Canis lupus familiaris: one gene and its partner. The protein of the gene in region 1 purifies or fractionates together with the protein of each later gene. This does not show direct contact. Links are inferred from orthologs where the notes say so. Each region holds a gene or a part of one and is shown in the gene's direction. Other genes may lie near its edges.

Region 1 (4,114 bases):
TCTTGTTTCGGGGGCCCCCTGGCTCAGGCGCCCCGGAATCGGTAGGGTGAGGCGGGAGAACTTAACACTGCCGAAACCGTTACCCCTCAAAAGACACCAACCTCGGCCGCTCCTGGCAGCAGCCTCCTCCGCCCATGACCTCATGCTTTAAGCTCCCATATAGCCTTCCCCCGCCCTGTCCCCACCCAGCGCCCGAGTGGGGGTGGGGGTGGGGGACAGCGGTGAAGGTGTGGGGAGGGGAGCACCTCGTTGGTCTCGCGCCAGAGCTGGGGGAAGGGACGAAACGACCTCCCCCACGCTGGGGAAAAGGAAAAAGGAAAAAAAAAAAAAAAAAAAAAAGCATGGTTTAACTTTCCCTTGAGCTGCAACTACTCGCTGTCCGGCGGGCCCCTCGTGAGCGAGGTGCCCCGGGCCGGCTCGAGGTGGTCGGTGCGGCCGGGCCGCTTTGGCTCCCATTCCCCGCGGCCGGGAGAGACGCCGGCGAAGGCCGCGGCCCCGCGCTGCACCGACGGGCGGCCGCGCCTCCGCGGGGCCCCGGGGCCCGTCCGGCCCTCGCCCCCCCCGGCGCCGCCGAGGTTTGAACCCTCGGCTCGCCTTTCAGCCCGCGCCCTGCCCCCTGCTCGCAGCTGCTCTCGGTTTGGGTGCAGCGGTTTCCCCCGCAGAGGAGGAGGAGGAGACAGCGCGAGGAGCGACTCCGGGCTCGGGTTTCCGCACCAATGCCGCGCAGCCCCGGGCGGCCCCCGGCGGCCGTCCCTCCTCCCCGGCACCACGTTCCACAGTCATGGCGCGCGAGGAGGGGCGAGCGCGCGCCGCCGCGGCACCCGCGCCCCCTCCCCGCCCTCCCCTCTCGGCCCGGCTCCTCTCCTAGGCAACCTCCCTCCCCGGCCTGCAGCGCCGCGGAGATGGAGCCCCCTCCCCAGAGAGCTGCGTTCGCTGCGCCGTCTGCAGCGCCCCCTCCCCGCCCCCATCGGGGCGGAGGGATGGAGCCGCGCGCTTCGCGAGCCTCCAGCCCCTTCCCGGGAGCCCCAGCCCCTCTCCCAGCCCCGCCGAGCCCGGGTGCGGAGGGGGGAGGCGCAGGCCGCCTCTCCGCACTCCACCGAGACCTTGGCGTCTTTGCAACCCCTTAGCAAAATAAATAAAGCCCCCCAACCCCAGTCGTTAAATTGCAAAGCTCGTTACAATAACCGGGACGGCTACGCAGGAAGCAATCCTGCACTGGTCCGGGTCTAAGGCGGCAGCTTCCCGGCCACGCCGCCGTCTCCCGGGCCTCGATTTTCCGGTCACGCCGGAGAGTCCGCCACACCCCGGGGGCTGACAGGTCCCCCGCGGGGCCGCCACTCGGTCCGCGTCCCCCGCCCCATCCTCGTCCAGAGTCTCGCCAAGCCTACAAAAGGTGCGACCTCACGCACAAGCAGAGCACACAAATAAGGTCGGCAGCGCATCGCCGGGGAGGCGGCGAACAATGCGCCAGGCTGCCCGCGCCCGCCTGAGCGCGGCGCCCGGGGGGACAGGGGGCGCGGGTGGGGGCCGGGGCGGAGGACCCGGCGGCCGCGGCGCTGGACACCTTACTTCCTGCTTCCCCGCCCGCGGCCAGACCCAGCTCTGCGGAGGGATATCTCTCCCCTCCTCTGTCCCTCTCTCCCTTCCCCCGCCCTCCCCCCCCTTTTTGCTTCTGCTCCCCCCCCCCACCCCGCCTTTCTCCTTTTGCAAGAAAATAATTTGACAGTCGATTTGCTGACAGGGGAGGAATTTGCATCCTGGATTTAAAAAAAAAAGGCCGAGAGGAGCTTGGGAACGGTTGCTAGGGGTGGGTAATGGGTGAAAAAAGGGGGGCGCCGGGGAGCGGATAAGGAGGGTTAAGGGAGGGGGCGAGGGTGGGGAGCAATGCAAAAGGTAAGGCCAGGTTACCGCTGCTCGGCCCCGAGTGGGCTGCGGCCGGGGGAGGGGCGAGAGATACATATGTATTTCTGTCTCCCTAGCACACCCCCTTCCCTCTAAGCGATGGCTGAGAGGCGGTGCATGCAGATGGGGAGTAAGTTTCCTGAAGGGGAGGGTGGATGCACGCGCGCGGCCCCGCGCTGCAAATTTCCACCGGGGAGGGAGAGTGGCTGGATGCGGAGAGTTTGGAGTTGCTTGCCGCGGAGGGCAGGAAGGGGAGCAGGGCCGGGAAAGGGGGCTGGCGGGCGCTATAGCTGGGAGTAAGTTTCCAGGATCGGGAGAGCCTGCACGCTTGCACGCTAGTAAGTTTCTGGTTGGGGAGGGCGCGTGGGGAGGAGGAGAGGGAGGGGTGCATGTATATAGAAGGGGGGAGGGGGGAGCAGATTTCCTGCGGGGAGGCTGAATGCATATGGAGAGTAGATTTCCTGAAGGGAGGGTGGAGGCGTAGACGGACCGAGTAAGTTTCTTGCTGGGGTGGTGGCGGAGGTGGTGGGTTGGTGCTTTGGAAACCCGGAGCTTCCTCCCCGGGGTGGGGGAGCATGCTGTTGGGGGTGGGGTGGGGGCGGCGCAGGGCCCTGTTCCCTGCTGGGGAAGGGGCTTGCATCTGGGGAGTATGTTTCCTGGCGGAGCGATATTTGTTTACAGGCTGAGGGCAGTACTGTAAGTGAGTAGCGCTTCGTGAAGGCGGCTCTGACATAAATTAATATTGAAATTACTCCATCAGCTCTGCTCGCCCCCCAGCTCACCCCCCAAGCGGAGTCTGGTCTTGTCGGATTGCCCATGCACTTGTTGCAGAAACAGCCAAGGTAGGCAAGAAGCTTATTAAGTTTCATTAAAAAAAAAAAAAAATTAGTTGGGGGATGCTCCGTGAGAAGACGGGGGAGGGGAAGGGGAAAGCCCCCCCCCCCACTTCTTTACTTTCAGTCTGTTAGCAGGGCCTTCTTTTTGCTTCCCTTCTTCTCTTGTCCCTCTGCGGGCTGTCCAGCATCCCGGCAAAGGGGGGAGGGCTGAGATGGGCGCTATAATTGGCAGCCCCGGCTTAAACGATGGTGGTGTTGGGGTTTGCAATTGAAGGTTGTGATGTTATAAAGCCTTCATTCTTCCAGCCAAGAAACCGCAGAACCCTAGGGATGTGCCTTTTGGGTTTTTGACATGATGCATATATGTATGTATATGCGCCTGTAGGCTCCTTGGGGGCTGGATACTCCCCCAAGCTACAGTGGCCACCCAGATAAGAGAAATGTATAAGGGGGAGAGCCTGCCCCTTCACTCTCTAACTTCAGTTTGGTAGACTGGGAAGTTACTGCTGGTGGGCTGAAGAAATAGATATTTAAGAATAACACAAAACCACCCATTCACTGGCGGAGGCCGAAAGCACCTGGCGGGCAGCCTCTGGCCAGCGCTGGGTTGGAGCATGTGCGCCTGCCATCCTTAGGTTAGAGAAAATGACTTCTGGTTCTTCCGTGTGCCTTCGGCTGGTCTGTTAGAGCCAGCTTTGTGGAAACTCTGCCCCAGACTAGACAGGGCTTTGGCAAGTGAAGTGTTGAGCGGGTTGCTAACAGCATGGCCTGGCCTGTCTTGTGAACTACATGGAGGTGATGCTTAGGAATGATGAAGCCAGGGGTGTCTGAAGAGTTGTTTTAAAAAAAAAAAAAGCCTCCCAAAGGCCGGCTGGCTTCACTTTTTTAGCAGGCCATGGAGGAGAGCTTTAAGGAATGAGTTTTAAGTTGTCCCAGTTGGTACAACCTTCTGCATCATTTACCCTTTCAGGAAAGCAATCTGGTGATGGAAAATGTGGTTTTGATGCCCACTGTAAGAATAACAAGCAGCCCTCCACACTTAACCAGTTAACCAGCAGTCTTTGCTTCTCCTTGCCTCTCTTTTCCTGCTGGTTTCTGCACATGAGTTGGTAGGTTTTGACTGCCAGGTACCTTGATTATGCCGAGACTTTTAACTTTGCCAGGATAATTTTGGCACCAGGGACCCAAACCCGGACATGTTTAGTAGGGTCAGGGAGTAAATGCTAGGTGTGTGGTTAACTAAAGTTGGTTAAGCTTTGTGCAGTTCTGTAGACAGGCTCAACTCTAGCAGGGGAAAAAGTGGGTTTTAAAAAAAGATCTCCCTACATGTTACTGATGGACGGTGCTTCTCTTCTTTCCTCCCTGTCATCAGATTT
Region 2 (4,134 bases), on another chromosome or scaffold:
TATTTTAATCCTCACAATAATCTTGCAGAGGTAAGAAAACTGGTTCAGAGGGGTTGAGAAAGAATGACCAACGTCATAAAGCTAGTAAATGGTGGTTACTGGAATTTAATAATAGCAGTGACAGATAGCATTGCTTGGGGGTTTACCTGTGCCAGAGTTCTTCACATGAATTAGCTCACTTAATCCTTAAGTGCAACCCTATTAGTTAGGTACCATTGTCCCCACTCTACAGATAGGGAAACTGAGGCACAGAAAGAAACCTGGATCACACAGAGGGTGGTAGACCAAAGGCAGGCAGACCAATTCCATAGTCAATATTCTTAATCACCATATCATGCTGGATTTGAACTCATATCTTTCTACATTAAAAACTCAGGTACTGGGGCGCCTGGGTGGCTCAGCGGTTGAGCGTCTGCCTCTGACTCAGGTCCTGATCCCAGTCCAGGGATGGAGTCCCTCATCGGGCTCCCTCCAGGGAGCCTGCTTCTCCCTCTGCCTATGTCTCTGCCTCTCTCAGTCTCTCATGAATAAACAAAATACAAATAAAAACTCATGTACGTTTTACTATTCCACATTGTGACCTTGGAAAAGGAACTTTCTCTACTACCCGTAAATCGATCCAGTTCTATTTACGGACATCCTACCTCTAAGCCAGAGCTAAGGGGAGCTTTGCGAAACTCCATAGCTGTTAAACCTCTGCATCCCCGCCCATCCCAGGATCACCTTCCTGGAGAGAGAAGCCCAGGTCGCTGGGGCTTGGGAGAGTCCACGGGCCAAGACCCAACCTTCATTATGATGCCTTTAGATGCAAGAGGCATCCCCTGGAGCCTAGGCCTCGAGGGACCCGGTGGGTGTTTGGAAGGGCATGGGCCAGACCCCCTCTTGAATTTTCGGGTCCCCGCATTAGGCGCACTCTACGGCTTTCAAAGACTGAACTGTGGGCCCCGCTGTGCTCCCCTCCGCACCTAAGCTCCAGCCCCGAGAGCCCGCTCTCGTCCTTCCTGCCCCGCACTTCTCCACCCGCCTTGGCCCAGCGGGGAGCGCTCCCGGGCCAAATACCCACAGTCCGCACCCGAGGAGCCGGCCGGGCCGCAGAAGAAGCCCCCGCCGCGCGGCTCACAGCGCCTGCCTGCTTCCGGGCCCCAGCGGGACGCGGCCTTGCGGTTCCCATGGAAACCCCGCGGCTCGCCGCGTCGCGCTTCCGGGCCGGCTCGCGGCGCCCTCCAATGACGTCACAGGGCCACTTTCCGGCCGGTGGCAGAGTCGGGCTGAGGTTGGGGGGCGCCGGAGGAGCCATGGGGGCCACTGGCGACGCCGAGCAGCCGCGGGGACCCGGCGGGGCAGAGCGGGGCGGCTCCGAGCTGGGCGACGCGGGCGCAGCGGGGCAGCTGGTACTCACGGTGAGGGCGCCCCCGGGAAGGCCGGGGCCGGGGCTGGGGCTGGGCTCGGGCCGGCTGGGCCTCGGGCTCCCGGGACCCTGGCCCGCGGGCGAGAGAACGCGGCGGCTGGTGCTGCCCAGGGCGGTGGCGTTTTCGCAGTCCGACCACCCGGATTCAAATTCTGGTGCCGCCCTCCAGGCTAGGCGATGTGAGCCGGTCCTGTCACCTCTGAGCTCCAGTTTCCTCTTCTGTAAAATGGAGAGGATTGGTGCCTGCCTCGTAAAGTTGTTACGGGGATGGGGTGTAAAGGCGAGCAGAGCGCCCAGCACGCTAGCAGCCCCAGAGTGGTCCCTCGGTAAACACTGGTTCCCTTCCCTCTCCCATCCCAGAAAGGGTGGGGTTGGGACTTTTCCAGGCAGGAAACTTCAGTTCCTCCACCCCGGCAGGACCTTTCAACCGCTGCCCTCCCGCCTACCCGAGGGTGGGAGAGATGCTGACAGTACCTGAGAAGCAGAGGTGTCCACGTTTAACTTCATACTCACCGTCCACCTGTACCCTAGTGTCACAAGCCTCGGTGACATCTGTTCCCTTGGTCCCCACAGAACCCTTGGAACATAATGATAAAGCACAGGCAGGTGCAGCGAAGGGGCCGCCGCTCACAGATGACAACAAGGTAAGGCTGGGCCTGAGTATTGACCTCCCCGGCATTGATTGGCTTGGATGGCACCCTTGGGGTCCCCACTACACAGAGCTGAAGAGAGATCAGCAGCTGTTAGAAGGAGCAATGGACTAGGAAAAAGGAGACTCGGCTTTTGTCACTCTGGATGTGACCTTGGTTGAATCATTGCCACCTCTGAACTCTTGTACAAAATAGGAGGAATCATGAATTCAGCAGTGCCTAAGATCCTAACACTCACTCGCTCTGTGGTTGAGGGCTCTAAAGAGGCAAAATAGCATAGAGGTTTAGAAAAAAGTGGGGCTGGGGCACCTGGGTGGCACAGTGGTTGAGCGTCTGTCTTCAGCTCAGGGCATGCTCTCAGTCCAGGGATGGAGTCCTGCATCGGGCTCCCTGCATGGAGCCTGCTTCTCCTTCTGCCTGTGTCTGCCTCTTTCTATGTGTGTCTCATGAATAAATAAAATCTTTTTTTTTATTTTTTTAAAGAAAGAAGTGAGGCTAATAGTAGTATTTATCTCAGTGAAGGGAGAGAGCACAATGGACCCATGGGATCCTGATTAAATTTCTTGACCTGAGTAGTGATTAAGTGGATGTTCACTAAAACTATTTGTTAAAATGAAAAAAAAAAAAAAGTGTATAGACTTTGTATTTCATAAAACACTTTAAAAAATAATACTTATTTTGTAGGGTTCTTATGAAAATGGAATAAAGCCATACATATGTTTCATTTGCACAGAACCTGGGCACATAGCTTGTTTTCAATAGAAGCTATTACTGTTATTAAAGGAGCCTGTGTCAATAATTGGCTGGGCAGACTAGGAAAGATATGTTTGGGACATGACCCCTGACTGTGTCTCCCTCCTGAATGCAGTTTCACAGATCCTGCCATTTCCATGGACCTCCTTCGAGCTGTCCTGCAGCCTAGCATCAACGAGGAGATCCAGACGGTCTTCAACAAGTATATGAAGGTGAGAGGTACAGAGATGCAAGGGCAGACCTTTCCTACATTACAATCCCCCTCGCTCTTTTTGGTACAAACAGATGAGTCAGGTTTTCCAATTCTGAATCCCTGAGAACTTTTTTCGCCCTCTTTAGAGGTAATTTGAATACCTCTTTCGCCAAGCTATTATGAGGATAAAATAATTTAAGTTTAATGTGCTCTGCACCATGTTACAAACAAGTGTCTTTCTTATTTGTTTAACAGGATCAACATTATTATTATTTAAAATTCCTTTCTAGGCCTATAAATAAACTTCCACATGACTCTACCTGATTGTCCCCTAGATGCTTGAAACAGCATGTCCAGAGCTGAACTCTTTCTTCCTAAACCTCTTCCTCTTATGTTTGTTTATTCATTCAAGAAGCATGTACTGAGCACCCACCATTATAGCAGGCACTGAGGATGCAGCAGCAAACAAAATGAACAGTGTCTCTGCCCTCTTTAAACAAATAAGTACTATGCTAGGAAATGCCAGAGAGAAGGGGGAGAGAGTAACCAGTGGGGAACAGTAGTGCTGTTTCATAGATTGTGTCCAGGAAAGCCACATGTGAGCAGACACCTGAATAAAGGGAGAGAAAAACAAGCTGTGTGGACACATCAGGGGAAAACACCCCAGGCAGAGGGAACAAGAGCAGACACCCTGAGGCAGGAGTGTGCTTGGACACTCAAAGCAACAAAGTCTCGGGCAGCCCCAGTGGCTCAGCGGTTTAGTGCCACCTTCAGCCCAGGGTGGGATCCTGGAGACCTGGGATCAAGTCCCATGTCAGGCTCCCTGTGTGGAGCCTGCTTCTCCCTCTGCCTGTGTCTCTGCCTCTCTCTCTCTCTCTCTAATGAATGAATACATAAAATCTTTAAAAAAAAAAAAAGTCTCCAGTGTGGCTAGAGCAGACTGAGCCAGGAGGAGAATAAGGAGAGGTAATCAAAGAAAATAGGGGCCCAGTTCATGCAGAACCTTTGAGGCCATGGTAAGGATATTGGGGTTTACTCTGAGTAAAATAGAGGCCCTTTTAGACTTTTGGGCAGAGCACTGGATCTAAACTTTTTTTTTTTTTATCTAAACATTTTTTTAATATTTTTTA

What was found. The genes of interacting proteins can lie anywhere in the genome.
Region 2: the proteins of TRERF1 (region 1) and DNTTIP1 purify together in Homo sapiens (affinity purification with mass spectrometry; 3 studies listed by BioGRID and IntAct, with this or other methods). This does not show direct contact. The link is inferred for Canis lupus familiaris from reciprocal best matches to the Homo sapiens genes TRERF1 and DNTTIP1.

Annotation. Positions count from the first base shown.
Region 1 is NC_049233.1:11,232,645-11,236,758, reverse strand, and holds the start of TRERF1 (transcriptional-regulating factor 1), read left to right. Parts: upstream 1-1,213; 5' UTR 1,214-1,393; intron 1,394-1,688; exon of another isoform or gene 1,689-1,807; intron 1,808-1,897; exon of another isoform or gene 1,898-2,032; intron 2,033-2,038; exon of another isoform or gene 2,039-2,240; intron 2,241-2,317; exon of another isoform or gene 2,318-2,395; intron 2,396-2,662; 5' UTR 2,663-2,744; intron 2,745-4,114.
Region 2 is NC_049245.1:33,724,944-33,729,077, forward strand, and holds the start of DNTTIP1 (deoxynucleotidyltransferase terminal-interacting protein 1), read left to right. Parts: upstream 1-1,257; 5' UTR 1,258-1,295; coding exon 1,296-1,400; intron 1,401-1,981; coding exon 1,982-2,052; intron 2,053-2,926; coding exon 2,927-3,023; intron 3,024-4,134. UniProt on the Homo sapiens protein: Increases DNTT terminal deoxynucleotidyltransferase activity (in vitro). Also acts as a transcriptional regulator, binding to the consensus sequence 5'-GNTGCATG-3' following an AT-tract.